2 linked regions of the Cricetulus griseus genome follow. The protein of the gene in region 2 interacts with the protein of the main gene of each other region in a pairwise test. Links are inferred from orthologs where the notes say so. Each region holds a gene or a part of one and is shown on either strand. Other genes may lie near its edges.

Region 1 (6,972 bases), on a different chromosome or scaffold from region 2:
TTTTCCAAAGTTATTTTCAGGTAATCATTTTATATGATTTTTGTAACTTCAATTCAATTAAGTGTGAGTTTATTACCACTGATTCTTCACTAAAATTATTGACTCTACCTTGAGTGAAAGTGGAACCATAGAAAAATAATTAAAAAAAAAGTGAAATGAGAAAAATGATTTAAAAAAAGTGAAATGAGGGCTTTTTCACTAAGGGATCTCAGATTTTAAAACGTGAGTTTCTTTCCCTACTCTTCCCTTTTCCGTTTTTAATCCTCCCCTCGCGCCTTTTGCTTTCGGGCCTCAAGTGTGCCAGACCGCACTACCACTGTGGTACACCCTACACAGGTATTTTAATGCTGGATTCGAAATTTTGTTTCCTTCCACTTCTCCAAACCCCAGCACGTGCACAGGCGCCGGGACGGGGACGGGAGATCGGTGGCCCTGCTCACTGCAGTTCCCAGCCTGCGGCCCAGGGCTGGGTGCCGAGGAGGTGTCAGCATTTGTAGGACTGGGTGAAGAAGAATATACTCGCCATAAACAGAACCGACCGCCCCGGGACAGGCAGCCAGGCGAGCGCAGCCAAGCGCGGGCCTTGGCTGTTTAGGATCTGCTACTCCGGCGCCGGATCGGGCTGAGGTTTTGCATCGGGCTCTCCGGGCGGCGTGTGTTCGTGCACGGCTGGGCGGGCTGGGCCAGCCGCTCGCACCGGCGGCACGCGCTGTCCCCGCGCACCTGGCACTCCGGGGGATCTCCTCCCTGGAGGTCTTGCCGTAAGGACGAGCTGCAAAGACCGGGAGACCGAGGACGCTCACTCTTCCCCGGGAGCATCCAAGCCTCTGTGCGGTTCAAATCCCGCGCCCTCGCAACCCTCGACCCCATTCCTCCTCCCCCTCCCCAGCGCCCCGGCCCGATGCTACCTCTCTGCGAAGGGCGGGGCGGATAACACCCATCCCCGCTCCCCGCAAACCCTCAGCTAAGTGTCTCGGAGCTCTGGCTTGCTTCCTGCATCTCAGCAAACGCTAATGAAAACCGCCGACCACATGACACAGCAGCCGCACACGAGGGCAGAGGAGGAAGCAAAACAAGAAGAAAGCCGGCGCTCCAGCAGCCACGTGAGGCGAGGAACTCCCGAGCGCCCGCTCCACGGATGACTTCAATTCCCGGCCTGCCTCGGGGCGGCCGTCCTCCGGGGACTACAACTCCCAGGGTGCAGCGGACCAGCCCGCCGCAACCTCCCACTCGGCCGCCTGCCGCTCGTCCCGCCCCTCCCCCGCCCCGCCCAGCCCGCTCGGCATGCGCCTGCGCACCGGAGGCCGGAGGAGTCTTACCCTAATGTAAGATGGTGGCCCGTCTAGCTGTGGAACCCACCGAAAGCTGAGAGTCTCTCTCAGCCGTAAAGGTCGGACTCGCTGAAGCAGTCAGGCCCGCTTCTGAAGAGTTATTTCGCCGGCTCTCGTTCATTGGTCTCCTGTGAGGACGCGGCAGCGCGTGGAGTCGGCGAAGGGAAAAGCGAGGCAAGGCAGGCGGGTGAGTGTCTGCGGGGCTGGGCTTAGGGGAAGCCCGGGGCTGACCGGCTACGAGAGAGCGGAGGCTTCGCCGGGACTGTGCAGGCCGCACCCCCCTTTCTCCCCATCCCCCGCCTCGTCTTCACCCTCCTCCTCCTCCTCCACCTCCTCCTCCTCCTCCTCCCCCGGCTCCCTCCTCCTCCTCCTCCTCTTCCTCCCTCTCCCCTCTACGCCACAGCAGTTACCACCAGGAAAAGGCTGCCGGGCTGGAGGCAGCGCGGCGGCGAGCGCCGGCTCTCTCCTCAGAGAATTTCTTCAATTGGGGAGCCAAGAGGGCTTCTTATCGCCAGCTTTGCCCCGCATTTTTTCCGGCAACAGTACCCTTAGGTCTCAGTCCTCCTTGTTTCTCCAGTCCCCTTTCCCCTCTGACGTGCTTTCCAGCTGGCCCTGGTCTCCGAAGCCAGAACCATCCTCACTTCTACTCCGACCGGTGCTGCTGTTGCTTATTGCCCACCCGCCCTCTTTGGTGCTTGGGGTTTTTTGCCCCCCCTTTTTTTCTTTTGCCCCTCTCCACTGCCTCTGCCCTCCTCCAGTGCTTGCAGTCATGCAGTCAGCCCCCGGTCTGTCTGCCAGACCCGGCTGATTCCGAGGTGCAATCAGTCTCCTTTAGCCACATCAGTCATCCAAAAGCCTCCCCGTGAGTATCTAAATTATGTTGCTGCCCGGTTGCTTCGGTGTAACCCACCTGTTTCTCAGCCTTCTTGAGTAGAGTCGATTCCTTTCCTCTTTCCAATACAGATTCTTTCAACACACACTTCCAGAAAAGGGGAGATGCCTCTTGTTGTTCCTTGAAAAGTAGAGGAAGTTGGGAAGTGAATGAAGTGAGGTGAGGTAGGGTACTGGATCTTTCTTCAGGCTACCCAGGAATTTTTTTTTTTGCATCGTGTGATCTTTTTGTTGCTCATTCACTCTGTTGGACCATGGCTTTTTACTCTCTCTCTCTCTCTCTCTCTCTCTCTCTCTCTCTCTCTCTCTCTCTCTCTCTCTCTCTCTCTTATTTTCGACCTTCTCCATGCCACTCAGCATTCTCCTGAATTGCCTTTCCTCAGGACACTTGATTTGGACGCTGATTATACCCATAAAGAACAGCTTAGCATTTCAAAACAAGATGAATCTGGCTCTCACGAGCGAGAGCAAACACACACACACACACACTCTATGCAAATACAAATGGTATTTTGATCATATGTGTGTTACGGATTCCTTTTATATTGAGAATAGATTATTAGCCACATCATAATGATGTTTAGGTTAATTGATAACATTTATTTGTGATTTGGGTGGAGATTTCCTGGCTAGTGTAAGATTGACCTTTTTTTTTTTTCTCTTTTGATCTGGGAAGTTCCCTCTTTTGACATTTTTAGGATAGGAGTTATCTGAATAAGTTGTGTGGAAAAATATATTGGGTATGTATGCAAAAGAGAAGTTGATATTTTGGGGTAAACTTAAATTCATTTTTTTCCCCATAGAAAAGAAGGGGCTGAGAGAAGTCAAAAAGCTGTGCATATACAGTGGCACTTAGCTGTTGTCACCTATAGTAAGAACTAGAAACCCAAGGGCATGGTTTAGTGAAAGCACAATTGAAATGTACTTGTTTTCATAAAGAAAAGTCAGAGCCATTGCTATAATGCACCCCAGTGAAATAAAGAATTGCCAGAAAAGCAAATAGGGTTATGTAGGTCAGATACACACATGTCAAATTTGAACATAACACATATATATTATATATACATTAATATATATGCAATCTAGATAGTGGTGACGCACACCTTTAATCCCAGCACCCAGGAGGCAGAAGCAGGTGGATCTCTGTGAGTTCAAGGTCAGCTTGTTCTACAGAGCAAGTTCCAGAACAGCCAGGCCTACACAGAAACGTTGTGTAGAAAAAGTGTTTGTTTTGCAAACATATATGTTTGTTTTGTATGTGTATGTATATATATATATATATATATATATAATATATATATATATATATATTATATATATATAAAATATTTAAAGTCACAGTAACAGCCTTGATGCAGTTTGTCTCTTATTGGGAAAACAGTAAAAAACACTTTACATGTAAATACAAAAGTGTCCTCTAGACACTTTTGCACATTACCAGGTTATTGCTTTACATATTTTACCTATAACATTTGAGTATTCTTGTATTTGATATTACATTCTGTTATTGTGAAACAGTCTTTAAAAATGTAAACTAAGGTTAGAAAAGCTGTTCCTAAAGCTTACTTCTTTCAGCCGGGCAGTGGTGGCTCATGCCTTTAATCGAAGCACTGGGGAGGCAGAGGCAGGCCGATTTCTGTGAGTTCAAGGCCAGCCTGGTCTACAGAACTACACAGAGAAATCCCGTCTGGAAAAACAAAAAGCTTGCTCCTTTCTTCTCTCTCTCTCTCTCTCTTTTTTTTTTTTTTCCTCCTTTTCATTTTTAGGCATGGTCTTTGTGTAGCTCTGACCTGGAATAAGCAATATAGATCAGGCTGGTCTTGAACTTGTATTGATCTTCCTGCCTCTTCCTCCTGAGTGCTAGGTGTGCCCTCCTATGCCTGGCCTACCCCCCCCCCCTTTAGCCATTTAAGCCCCTATTTGGCAAAATTGAATAAATCCCTATTCTTCTGAGAATTGGAAGCAATTTTATATAGCAAACCTTGTCTTTCCTTGAAGTTAAAAAAGAAAACTTTTCATTTAGTTTATCAATAACTTGTCTTCAACTCCAAGTAAAAAATAGATGCTGGTAGAAAGCTTCCACTTTGAACAATCTTGTCTAGATACTCTTGGCAGTCATACTTGGCTGAATTGTAAGCAGTATGTTCTGAGGAGAGGACTGTTTGTCTGATAGAAGGGGTGAGTGAGTTTTTAATACATCTTTTCTTTTGTAAGGTATTTGGCTCACTCAGTTTCTTAAGTCATTTTTGTCTCCTCTGAGGTTATCAAATTCTTGCTTCTAGCCTTTTGAAATAAAAGTGAATTTATTTGAGATCTTTAGGATGTCTAGAGAAGATGTAAAAGTTCTTTGACAAATTGATAGGAAGTAAGTTGAATTTTATAAATATTCTTGTGTTTTTATTTGTAACATTTTCAGCATGGCAGTTTTATACTTAATGATTTCCTTTGATAGTTTTGAATTCTTTCTGCCAAGTTGAATAGTTGAAGTCTTCAAATGAATAGTTTGTTTGTATAAGATTTTTAAACGTGAGTTACTTAAAGTTGGCTTACTGTATAATTTTTCAGAAAGTTGCATAGATAAACCTTTAATTTGATTGGGATGAAAGATACAATCAAACAGCAAAATACAAAATAGAATTCTTTTGTGACATTTGTTGACTTCATTTAAATGGAAATGCTAGAGATAACTTGCACCCCATTACTTTGTTTTTGTTGTTCTGAAATGAGGTTTTAATGGTGTCGCTCAGGCTGTCCTGGAGCTGACTATGTAGGCTAAGCTGCCTTCAGGAGAACCATCCTGCTTCAGCTTCCTTAGACTGGAAATAGAGGTGTGAGCTACCCATGTAACCAGTCCTGGGTGAGCACAGAGCATTTTGTGGCACTAGGCTGGAATGTGGAGCCTCCTGCATGCTAGACAGTAGCTTTCAGGGGGGTTTATTGTAAAAAGGGTTTTTTTTTTTTTGTCTTTTTGTCGTCCGTCCCCCCCCTCCCCCCCAGACAGGGGGTTTCTCTGTGGCTTTAGAGCCTATCCTGGAACTAGCTGTTGTAGACCAGGCTGGTCTCGAACTCACATAGATCCGCCTGCCTCTGCCTCCCGAGTGCTGGGATTAAAGGCGTGTGCCACCACCACCCGGCTGACTTTGTGTCTTAAGAGAATGAAAAACAGTTTATTTAAGCAGTTTGATTTTAGAAGCTTTTTTTTCCTTCCTCTTTACTCCCTGTTTTAAGATGAAGCTGCACTCTTCATTTTAATGATTTTTCTATGTGACTGCAAGTAATACTTGATTGAACTGTTACTGTTTTTGTAGAATGTGAGATAGGTTTAATTTTTGAAAGCTTCAGTCTCTGCTGAAAATTCAAATAGTTCTGTCACTACCTATATTATTGCCTTGACGTTTTGTGAAGGAAGTTATAGTGAACTAAGTTGGTTTTGAAACAAAAACAGTAGGGAAATAGGTTATACAGGTTTTTGCCGATCTAGAAACAGAATAACTAGAATGTACTACATACATTTCCCAAAGGATTTCTTAATCTAAATGGAACTTGTAAATGGTTTTCATCCCACCGGAATAGCATGTATCAGATGAAACTTAGTAACACATTCTAAGATTTTATAAACTTTCTGTTCCCTCAGAGTTATTAGGAAAAGTCTACAAATACCCATTCTTGAAAAGAAAGTTGTTGTAATCCTGGCAACTTAAAGACATAATGTATTTTTTTCTTCAAAAATTGAGACTGCATGAATTAATGATAGTGTAATCTACTTCTTTGATCAAGTTGTGGGTATTTACACATTTTATTTCAAAATATTAATCTCATTTTTTTAACTTTAAAGTTTTTAAAAAAATTTTTTTTTTTTTGAAACAGGGTTTCTCTGTGTAACAGCTCTGGCTGTCCTACAACTCATTCAGTATACCAGACTGGTCTCAAACTGACAGAGATTCACCTGCCTTTGCCTCAAGAGTGTTGGGGTTAAAGGCTTTCACCATTAAAGGCCCCACCCATTTTGTAGACTTCTTTAGTTGAAAGATTGTGTGATAAAATGCCAGCTTTCCCAAATGTAGTAATCTAATGGGGTCTCCCACATTATTCTTTCATAATAAAAAAAATGGCTGTCTTTCTGTGTGTGCATTTGTCTGTTCACACAGATTCATGTGTGTAGGTATGCCAACAGCTTCATGTGTCAACTTTAGGAATGGGAACAGAGTTTCTCATTGACCTGAAACTCACCAAATAGGCTAGATTGGCTGGCTTCCAACTCACAGAGATCCGCCTGCCTCTGCTTCCACCTCCGGAGTGCTGGGATTAAAGGCATTGCATGTTTTTTTTTTTTTTTTTTTTTTTTTTTTTTTTTTTTTTTTTTTTTTTTTTGTCAGAAGAGGAAAGCCTAAAATAAAAGATATATGAGTATAAGGCAGTCTGAAATGATTTTCTTTTTTGTCTCAGTGTATTTGTGAGGATGGCTCCTTTATTAAGCTGTTTATATAGGAAGATTTCTCTCTCTCAAGGTTTACTTGTACTAAATGATAGATAGGTAGTTGATGTACTTACTATTACTAGGTGTGCCTTACTATTTGAATAGCATATGTATTAGATATCTCTTCAGAAACATATTGTTTGATATGGTCACTAAATATCTCATCTATTAAGTTAAGCAGTTATGGAATAGAATTAGGAATCAAAATGGTCAAGTTGACTGTGCGCAAAACCAGTGTGTATAAACAAAGCTCAAATATCCAGTGTAGTGGTA
Region 2 (10,244 bases):
AACCAAAATACTGTCATTTTGCACATGATATAGCTAGAAAATAAAATTTAGCCATTCAAAACAAGTATAACCTCAATTATATAAGTTTGGAGAAAGAAATTGTTGCAGTGTGATAATTCCACTTCAAGTTACTCTATAAAGCAAATATAAATGCAATCCCTTTATTTGGGATGTTGACCAGATCTTAGAGGAAAGTAATGTCTTCCCTAATGATCTCAGTTATAACTGGGTTAATGACAAAAATATTAGTAAAGTATATAACCCAGTTAAGGTCACCCAATGAACAGGTACAACGGTATTTAGGTATGTATACAGGGTGGGCATGTTTTGGGAGATGAGGTGATGCCGTCGTAGTTCAGGCTGTCTACAAACTCGTGATCTATCTTCCTCAGTTTCCTCAGCACACCAAAGAAACAGGTATGTATTGCCACATTCAAATTCAACAGTGTTTCTAAATATACAAATCAGGCTGAAAATACTAACTCCGAAAATGACACACAAAGGGCAGTGCACACAAAGTGACCTGTATTGAAGACACAGCAGAGAAAAACTTAAGTCAAACCAATTAACCTGTAGGTTACTGCGCAGATCCGACAGAAAAGTGACAGGGGATCGAGTTTTAAGATAGGAATCCAAATCTTTTTTGAACTGAGGTGGCATCACTCCAGTGAAATTGGTGAGGATCCGAGGTGCAATGTTAATTTCACTCAACATGTCCACCTGTCACAAATATCAAGAATCAGAATCGGGCACAGAAGTTAACATATCATACCTAAGACAGAAGCATAAGGACAGCTTTGTAAAATTCTCTCTCTCTCTCTCTCTCTCTCTCTCTCTCTCTCTCTCTCTCTGTCTATATATTTCTCAGTATTTATGTTAATGGTTTTCAAGTGGTCCCTTTCCTTAAACAATTTAAACATATGTACACTGAATCTTGTGAACTATAGACATTGCAAAGATTACTTTGTTCAATAACGCAGCTTGGGACCAGCAATTGCCCAACATTCAGTCTAGGGTTCAATAATTATACCTAAACTTAAGGTCGAAATTATGAGAAACGATAACCAGAAAAATAGTATGAACCAATATTCAGGGACAACATCACACCAATCAGAATTAGCTACCCTAACAACCATTGCCTAAAGCATGCATATGTGTGTGTATGTTGGGGGTGGGAATGTTAAATTTAATGATTTCAAATAGGCTGCTTATCATAGAAGGGGCTGGAAAATCACAATAAAAACTTTTTCCTTTAGGAACTGCAAAGATGGCCCAGTGGTTAAGAGCACTGGTCTCTCTTTTAGAGGGCCTGATTTCAGTTCCCATCACACACATGGCAGCTCACAATCTGATTCTATTTCAAGGGCATTCATTACCTTATGCAAGTCTCTCCAGACTCCCACATGCATGTGGTACACATAAAGTCACACACATATACATAGATTAGAACTAAAATTGAAAGAAACAAGGAAGGAAAACAAAACAACCATGTTCCATCTATTAAAACTTTACCTTCAGATTAGGAGTGAATGGGTCTGGGAGCCTCATATTTCTTGGGAAGGCACTCAGGATCAAATTTCTTAACTGGATACAATTAGGAGGGATCACATCACAGAACCCATAATGGTAATCACAAAGGAACTCTGGGAAATCATGCAAAAGAACTAGCAGCACTCTTAGAGTACCCTGAATAAAAAGAAAAAACGTTCCACACTAAGAAAGCAGTATTTTTTTTCTTCCCGATCATGAATTCTAACTTAGGTCAAAAATATGTATATGTTATTAACATAAAAAAATCAATAAATACAGTTAAGATTACAAAAATAATTACATGTAGAAACCATAAAGTTGGAGCTGGTGCCTTAAATATAAAGTACAATATATTCTGCACAAAAACAATACAATGATGGAGCATCTATCCTTAGATGCTAGAAAGAGGACAAAACCAAAATTTAAGGAAGGGGCCATAATACATTAACTGAAAATGGGGGTGAGATCAAAGCTAGCTTGTTAGTTCTTGACAAGTTTAGTAAATTCAACAATTCTGATCAACAGGTGGTAAGAACTCCTTAGCAACCTGAGATAGCCTAGTATGTCTAAGAAGGCCCTAAGTTTGATTGCCAGAGCCATAGAAAAACAATTAAAACTCGAAAATAAAAATGCAAACAATCCTAGGGAAACGTGAGCAAACTACTGGAAGGAACATCACAAAAAGGGTGGCACAGTAAAGAAGTCAGGTGACACATGCCTTTAATTCCAGCAAGAACAAGACAGAATTAGGAGGACCTCCTGTTTCTAAGCAAACCAGGGCTATATAATGAGGCTCTGTCTCAAGAAATAAACATCTCCGGAGAGATGGCTCAGTAGTTAAGAATATTTGCTGCTCTTGCTGAAGAGCAGAGTTTGATTCCCAGAAGCTACACGGTGGCTCACAACCATCTTTAACACCAGTTCCGGGGCCCTGACAACCTCTTCTGTATTCACTGAGTACCAGGCAAACACATGGGGCATTTACATGCATGCAAAAGTCATAACTTAAATCTAAGAAAAAATTATTTAAAAAACAAAAAACCATTAAGGAAATAGAAATTAAATCCTCAGTGAGATTGTATCAAATTGCTAAAATGGTGTGTGTGTTGGGGGGGGGGGGGGGGGGACCCTAGCAGAGAACATGGGGGAAAACTAACTTTCCACTTAAGCAAGGCTTTCTGAGTATCCTGTGTGTTAACTGTAAGAGAATAATAACAACAGCCCACATGTTACAAAATTCAGTTATTTATAAATAAAAATTACCTTGTAGAGTATTTGCATAGGTTTAGTGAGTTCCACGTTTCTAAGGAAAGGCGCTAAATATTTGAATAAATCAATCAACAGCTGTGCGTACATAGGCCACCCCTAAAAGAAAGAAATGTATATGAGTTATAGTGACATCTCAAGTTGTTCAACTACAAAAGAGTTGCCAAGTCACTACACTATGGTTATCCACACTAATGTTAAGCGTAAAACACTGATGTGACAAGACCTCTCAATGCAGTATTAGCTCAGTGTGGTAGCTAGCATATAATAGGAGGGTGAGAAAAACACAAATATCCAACAAAATGAAAAGACTAAGTATTAAGGTAGTGGATGACTTTTTCTGGAATAAGAAGACTCCAGAGATCTGGGGACACATTTGCTTTTGTGCCTGTAAGAAAACTAAGTAAGAAAAAGGAGACTACCTTGAGGAAATTTCAGATATAATACCAAACCAATTGTAGGCTGGTTTTCATAATTCCTTAAGGTCTGGGTCTCAACTATTTCTTTTCTTACTCCCAACTCCTAGTAAATAACCTTGCTGATTTATAACATCAGCCTGCTTACTATACGTGCTGCAACCATACCAGTTATATTTCATCTTTTTGTGTGCATACGTCATGCATGTGTCTGTGTGCCATGGTTTGCATATGAAAATCATAGAACAAAACCAGTTCATTAAGTGATTATTTCACTTTCTTGTCCAGTTTACTTCAACACATAGTAGTTCTGGTCTGAAGGGCCAAATGAAAGTACTATATACAGTACTCTTCTGCAGTTTAATTGCAAAATGAAAAACTTCTCATATTAAATATTGTTAACAACACAAAACATTAAGAGACCAACAGAGATGATGCATAACAAAGCTAGAGGAGTAATACATGAAAGCTTTAAATGAGTCAAGACTCCATAAGCCTGTTTACATGCTGTGACTTGACCTTTGATAATTACCAAATAACACCCCTGGAAAAAATAAACTAAGTAACTAACAGAAACCGACATAAACAGTGCTAGTAAGCCCCAGGTAGTTACAGGCTTCATCTGTAGGAGATAAACTGCAGCCACACCTTCTGCTGTGGCGTATGTGCCAGCATTCTTGCAATAAAGATCCGATGCGAGATCAATTCAAGCCAGGCATATACAAAGCCAGGAGCTTTGGTAGGCCTTAAGATATGGAATGTATTGCTGAAAGAAAAAGTTCAAAATTAAATATAGTAAACAACACATGAATGCAAGTTAAGTTACTTCATTAAAAAACAAAAACAAAAAACACCTTGTTCCTAAACATACCAAAGTTCTACTTGATTTTTACTACATTAAACCAACAGTCCTTAAATCTTAGCAAGGAATATGGCACTGCCTGTGATCCCAGCACAGCCTGCGCTACTACCAAGTGAGAACTACCATCGAGAAACAAAGACCAACAATCAAGTTAAATGTGTACATGCCTGTAATTCCAGCTCTTAGAAGCTAGAATCAGGAGAATTAGGAGTCCAAGACCAGCCTCAGCAGCGTAGGAACTTTAGAGGTAAATCTAAGCTGTAAGACCCCATGTCAGATAACAACAAATGGAAATCTCTACTAAACCCCAACACTCACCAGAAAGCTGTAAGAGTCTGGAAATTAATGGTTTCCAACACATGCTCAGGTGCATTGAGCTCCAACAGCAGCATGATAAAAATCCTATGGTAGGGAAGCTGCTGAAATTCACTCTGCCGAACATCATGATCCTGTAGGAGAACTCCCACTACTATACCAAGAACCTATACAGAACACAGAGTAAAGCTCATCAGTCACACAGACAAGCCACTTTCTGCTTCCAATACATGACTTTTTCTCTATTTTTGTTTATTTAAGTTGGTTTTTTGAAACAGGGTTTCTCTCTGTCCAGCCCTGGCTATCCTGGAATTCACTGTATAGACCAGGTTGGCCTCAAACTCACAGAGATCTGCCCATTTCTACTTCCCAAGTGCTAGGATTAAAGGCACGTGCGCCACCACCGTCCTGCTAAATCAGGATTCTTCTATCTTGTTCTTGGGTTGAAACCAGGCCCTCACACTCACAAATGCTAGGCAAGTATTCCATTGCTTGAGTACTATCTTCAGGCTTGTTTTTGTTTATTTTCTGAGACAAGGTCTTACTAATATTTCCAAAAGCTGGCTTTGAGTTTGCAAGTCTCATTGTGATGTTCCTGCCTTAATCAGTCTTCCAAACACTTATAGGACTGCACCACCAGGACTGGTTTACCCTGCACTCTTAAGTACTACAAACAATGAAGGAAAAGATACATGCCATCTGAACACAAATTTGTATGTGGGCAGTCAAAGAGATATTTGCCTCTGTGTGTTTTCTTTGAATTTCATTATCATTAGATCAAACTTCTATATTCTCCACAGGTGCCACTGGTTTTTCTAAAGCTTTAGAAAACAGGATGTCTCTTCACGTTTCATCACAGTAAAATACCACAATGTTAAGTCTTCTAATGGGACCCAATGTCCACAGGGGACAAATGGTTCTCACCCCTCTTGACATAAGTAGGTCTGCATTCCACTTTTTACTCACTGATCAGTGGGGGTACATTAAGGACCCACTTGTATTTCTCCAAGAGCAAAGTCTACAGCCAAGTTTTATACATTCTCAAACTAGAGTTTGACATTCAACTTTTCAAGAATCCTACTGTATAAATCAGGTCAATAATTAAATGCCACTCCTGGTACTGGTCTACCCATCCAGACCAGACACAGCAATTGGAGGTAGGAAGACACTACCAACCTGCTGCCTGTTGGGATCATCATCAAAGCACCAACACACCAAAATACATTATGATCCTCTCTCTTTCCTCTTCTCTTCAGCACCTTTTTAACTATTGTGGATACTCTTTTCTATATTTCATTTTTGGATGGAAAAAACCTACAGCTAGAGTTTGAGAACAGCCTTATCTACACAGTAAATTCCAGGCCAGCCAAACCTACACAGTAAGACACTGTCTCAAACAACAACACAGAACACAAAAATCTAAGGGTCCAGGAAAAGACTCCCAACCTTATTCAACAGATTGATCTTGGTGACAGTGTTGGTGGCCTCCCCAGAGTGCTTCACTAACAGTGCAATGAGTCGGACAAAGGCATCCAGGTTGTGATAACACTTGGCTCGTATCATGGTGGGATTGGCAGCAGGATTGTGCTGCTGCTCCGCTTGAGCACGATAACTGATTTCAACACACATTTCAGTGCAAAGACGAAAAAACCTTGTTATGAGGTCATCAGTCTTAAGTATTCCTTGTTGGTGCATCTACAGTGGGAACAAACAACCAAGACAGTGAGACCATACTCAAAATCAGCTTTACACATGTTAGCTTTCAAATAGCCATACTCTATTTCCATTTCTAATTCTTACTGTGTGGAAGGATGCCATTAGGAAAATGACTCCTTTATTATTAAGAGCCACAGCAGAGTTCCTCCCAGCTTTAATTTCATGGAGAAGAATGAAATTGACAAAGAGACACTATATTATAAACCTTGAACAAGAGGGTATCTCCAAACAATCTAGAAAAATTATATAAATAAAGCTAAGTTTCAGAAACTCAAGGTGTTAAATTGTTCTCCCAGGGAGACTCAATTGCTCGTACGTTTAACTTCCCATAACGTACATGTCTCACAGACACCCTCCTCTTATTTAACCAATGGCAAAGCTTTTGAAATTCTAGCCATCTGCAGAAAAATCATTTATTTAATAAACATTCAAAATTATGTTATTTAAATGTAATGATATTCTATACTGTTAATATTAGTGGACAAAGTGAGTTCCAAGTCAGGCAGAACTACACAGCAACACTGTCTCAAAAAAGGCAGCAACACAGGAGCCACATCAAAACCACAACACAACAATGCCCACAAAATGCCATGAATCTGAATTTCTTCCAATGGACTGAGAATCAGAAGAAATTTACACGACATAGTTTACCAGTATCATTTATGCTGAAAAGTATATCCAATTCTTATATTTGGGGTTGTGAGCCTAGCCTTTGACAGCTAAACGGTCTCTCTCCAAACTACTAATTAACTAGTTCACCCACACTTAATTGTCGGGTATTTAAAAATAGACATAAGTGGGCTGAAGAGATGGCTCAGAGGTTAAGGATACTTCCAGAGGTCCTGAGTTCAATTCCCAGCAACCACATGGTGTCTCACAACTATCTGCTGTAGGCTCTGGTGCCCTCTTCTGTCATGGAAGCAGAACACTGTATATATAATAAATAAATAAATCTTTTTTTAAAAAAACTAGACCTAAGTGGTATTTCTTTGGTAAGACACCAACTTTTGGTTTCAATTTGAGGAAATGGGAACAACAACAAAAAAAAACCAGAATAGTCAACTGTTACAGCTTACTGAACAAATATTGTACAGTTTTATTAAAGAAATTCTAAGGCCAGTTCAAGGAAGTACTATTCCTGACAAGTTCTATTACAGTCAGGACATTAATTCTTCATGTTTTTCACATCACTGTAAACAGCCAGTAATGAACAAAGACAGAATACAAAATGGACCCTGACTATTCCCAGTTTATTCTGTTAACTATTTTTATTGTATTTGAGTGCTCAGGCATGCTTGTTGGTGTGCACTTGTGTTCAATGGCACAGATGTGTGCAAGAGTGCAGAGATCTGCAAAGACCAGAGGTACAGAATATCCTTGGAGCTGGAGTCAGTCAGTTGGCATGTGGAACTACAGTCTTCTGCAGGAACAGCACAAAATATGTCCTCTAACTGCCTATCCCTCTCTCCAGCTCACCATAACGATTTATTTTTGGTGTGGTGGTCTGACTAAGAATGGCCCCATATACTCATATATTTGAATGTCTAGTCACCAGGGAGGAACACTGTTTGAGAAGGATTAGGAAGTTTGCCCTTGTTGGAGAAAGTGTGTCATTAGAGAGGGACTGTTTTTTTTTTTTTTTTGAGACAATGTTACAAGATTGTGTAGCTCCACAGTTTCAAAAGTCTGTCAAGCCCAATATGTCTCTCTGTGTCTCTGCTTGTGGATCAGGATGCAGCTCTCAGCTACTGCTGCAGTGCCATACATGCCACCACACTCCAACCTCTGAAAACTGTAATCAAACCAATTAAGTGCTTTCTTTTCTAAGAGTTGCCTTGGCCATGGTGCCTCTTACTTTTAGACTTTTAGAAAGCAGTTCAATTTCCAACACTCTCAAACTTTAATTTGCATCAGATTCAATAAACAGATATACTAGAGAAAATATAATAAAAATACTCTGCCACTAAAAGGGGATTTGTTGTATCTTGTTTTTAAAATGTGCTAGGTAGGTGCGGTGGCTCACGCCTTTAATCCCAGCACTTGGGAAGCAGAGGCAGGTGGATCTCTGTAAGTTCAAGGCCAGTCTGGTCTACAAAATGAGTTCCAGAATAGCTAGGAGTATATATAGAAACCCTGTCTTTAAAAAACCACATATGCACATATTCTAAAATTTTTCATGTATTGGCTTAAAATCTATCACTGACTATTTTATTAGAAAAATATTTTGTGGCTTTGTTATTCATATTATGACCTACCACAAATTATAGCTATGACAACTGGAATGGGGTAAATAGAACTATTGGAGTAGGAATGGTGAATTTATAGTATGTATGATCAATAGTGAGGAAAAAAAAACACATAGGCCATATCAACTTAACAGAGCACAATGATGATATTTTTGCATGAATATGGAGGTAATTCTGACCACAGGTATACAATACTGAACTTTAATACTGGAGTTATCACACCCTACTTATGTTGAATAAAAAGCACCTTTCTTTCCAAAAGCTCTACCTGTCCAACAAACGCAGAGAACGCTTTGGTACTGTCACGGCCAGCTGCTGCTGAATGGTATAGATTCACCCATTCCCTCAGAAGATACTCTGCCTTCTCCCTCAGGCCTGGAGGGTCATCATATTCTGAGGCTTGAGAGATCCCAGAATGCATCATAAAGTTTGGGCCTCCATGAGCACGATCAATCATTGCTTCATAGTTGGATCGCACTACTTCCATCAGCTGGGGCAATCTAGTATGATAAATTCAGAGTGAAAATCAGTTAACCCACCATTATTTATTTCAGAGATACACAACTGGATCATTTATCAGAACTTGGGAAACTCAAATAGGCTAGGCTGGCTGGTCAATGAGCCATTAAGATCTGCTTATCTCTGCCTCCCCAGTGCTGAGATTACCAGTGTGCACAACTACACCAGTTTTGTGCCGTGTACATTCCTATGTGGACAGGTGAATGTATGTGTACATGCTTAGGACAACGTTGTGTATTATTTCTGCAAGATCTGTCCATGTTGTTTCTTAAGAAAGTTTCTTACTAGAACCTGGAGTTTGCTGATTAGGCTATATGACGTGTGGCTAGCTCAGCACTAGCATTACAAGTGTGCACCAATACACTTGGCTTTAAGGGTGGGAGCTTCCTAGGGATTGGTTTTAGATCTTCCTGCAAGCACTTCATGACATTTATCTCCAGCCTGAACAGCCAATGCTAAAACCAGGTTTCTGGTGCCAACTTATCAGTTACTATATGCACAGATCTATTATCAAGAAGGCTGTTGATTAAGCATTCACACTTTCAGGACAACACAAGGCCTGACTAAAATTATGTCACTAAATTTACGTGAAACAGTCACAAAATAGTGTTAGTGTATACATTATTTTCTAAAGCTCTCTGAGACTGCTGAGTGCATGAGGAAAGCAAAGCATTTCATTCTTACCCTTCCGGAGCATTGCCTCTGGAATGAGCATTAATCCTCATGAGGGTTTCAATGGTATGGAATAGGTCTGCCTCAGTAATATGGGCAACACTCCTTTCATCCACCAGCAGAATTTTTACCAATTGCATAGCAAATGCCACGGCCATGTAGTTTAAGCCATTCTCCATTGACTGGCAAAACAGCAAATGTGAGAGATAATAATTAAAATAAAAGCACTCCCTAAATCCTTTAGTCTACTTAAATTTCTTCCATACCTGAGCTAGATGAAGATCATATTGCTGCATGTTAACCAAATGATTTCGAATTAACAGCTCCACAGCCTCCACATTATATTTATATTCATCTCGACATTCAATTAGGCACCTAGAAAGACAGTATTCTAGTCATACTAAACAAATTGGCAATATGTTCTACACAAAGATGTCTTAAGAGACACTGCAATAAACAAAAGACTAACAGGACAGACACACACACACACACACACACACACACACACACACACACACACACACACACACACACACACACAACAAACAAACAAACAAAAAACTCCAACCAACGAAAATCAGTATGAAGTTTTAAAACCGTACAACCTAGGCTTAGCATCTATGAGGTTCTCAGCAAACAGCCCCAACCAGGAGAAAAGATAGTCTTAATGTTAAGACAACCCAGGCTTTGCTTTCAAATTTT

The links. The genes of interacting proteins can lie anywhere in the genome.
Region 1: the proteins of Cnot1 (region 2) and Cnot4 interact in a two-hybrid assay, tested with the Homo sapiens proteins (3 studies listed by BioGRID and IntAct, with this or other methods). The link is inferred for Cricetulus griseus from reciprocal best matches to the Homo sapiens genes CNOT1 and CNOT4.

The regions. Positions count from the first base shown.
Region 1 is NW_023276806.1:192,809,978-192,816,949, forward strand, and holds the start of Cnot4 (CCR4-NOT transcription complex subunit 4), read left to right. Parts: upstream 1-1,285; 5' UTR 1,286-1,518; intron 1,519-6,972. UniProt on the Homo sapiens protein: Has E3 ubiquitin ligase activity, promoting ubiquitination and degradation of target proteins. Involved in activation of the JAK/STAT pathway. Catalyzes ubiquitination of methylated RBM15.
Region 2 is NC_048596.1:171,916,328-171,926,571, forward strand, and holds part of Cnot1 (CCR4-NOT transcription complex subunit 1), read right to left. Parts: intron 9,918-10,244; coding exon 9,809-9,917; intron 9,725-9,808; coding exon 9,555-9,724; intron 8,852-9,554; coding exon 8,599-8,851; intron 6,085-8,598; coding exon 5,836-6,084; intron 4,557-5,835; coding exon 4,393-4,556; intron 3,979-4,392; coding exon 3,861-3,978; intron 2,896-3,860; coding exon 2,794-2,895; intron 1,687-2,793; coding exon 1,513-1,686; intron 721-1,512; coding exon 571-720; intron 1-570.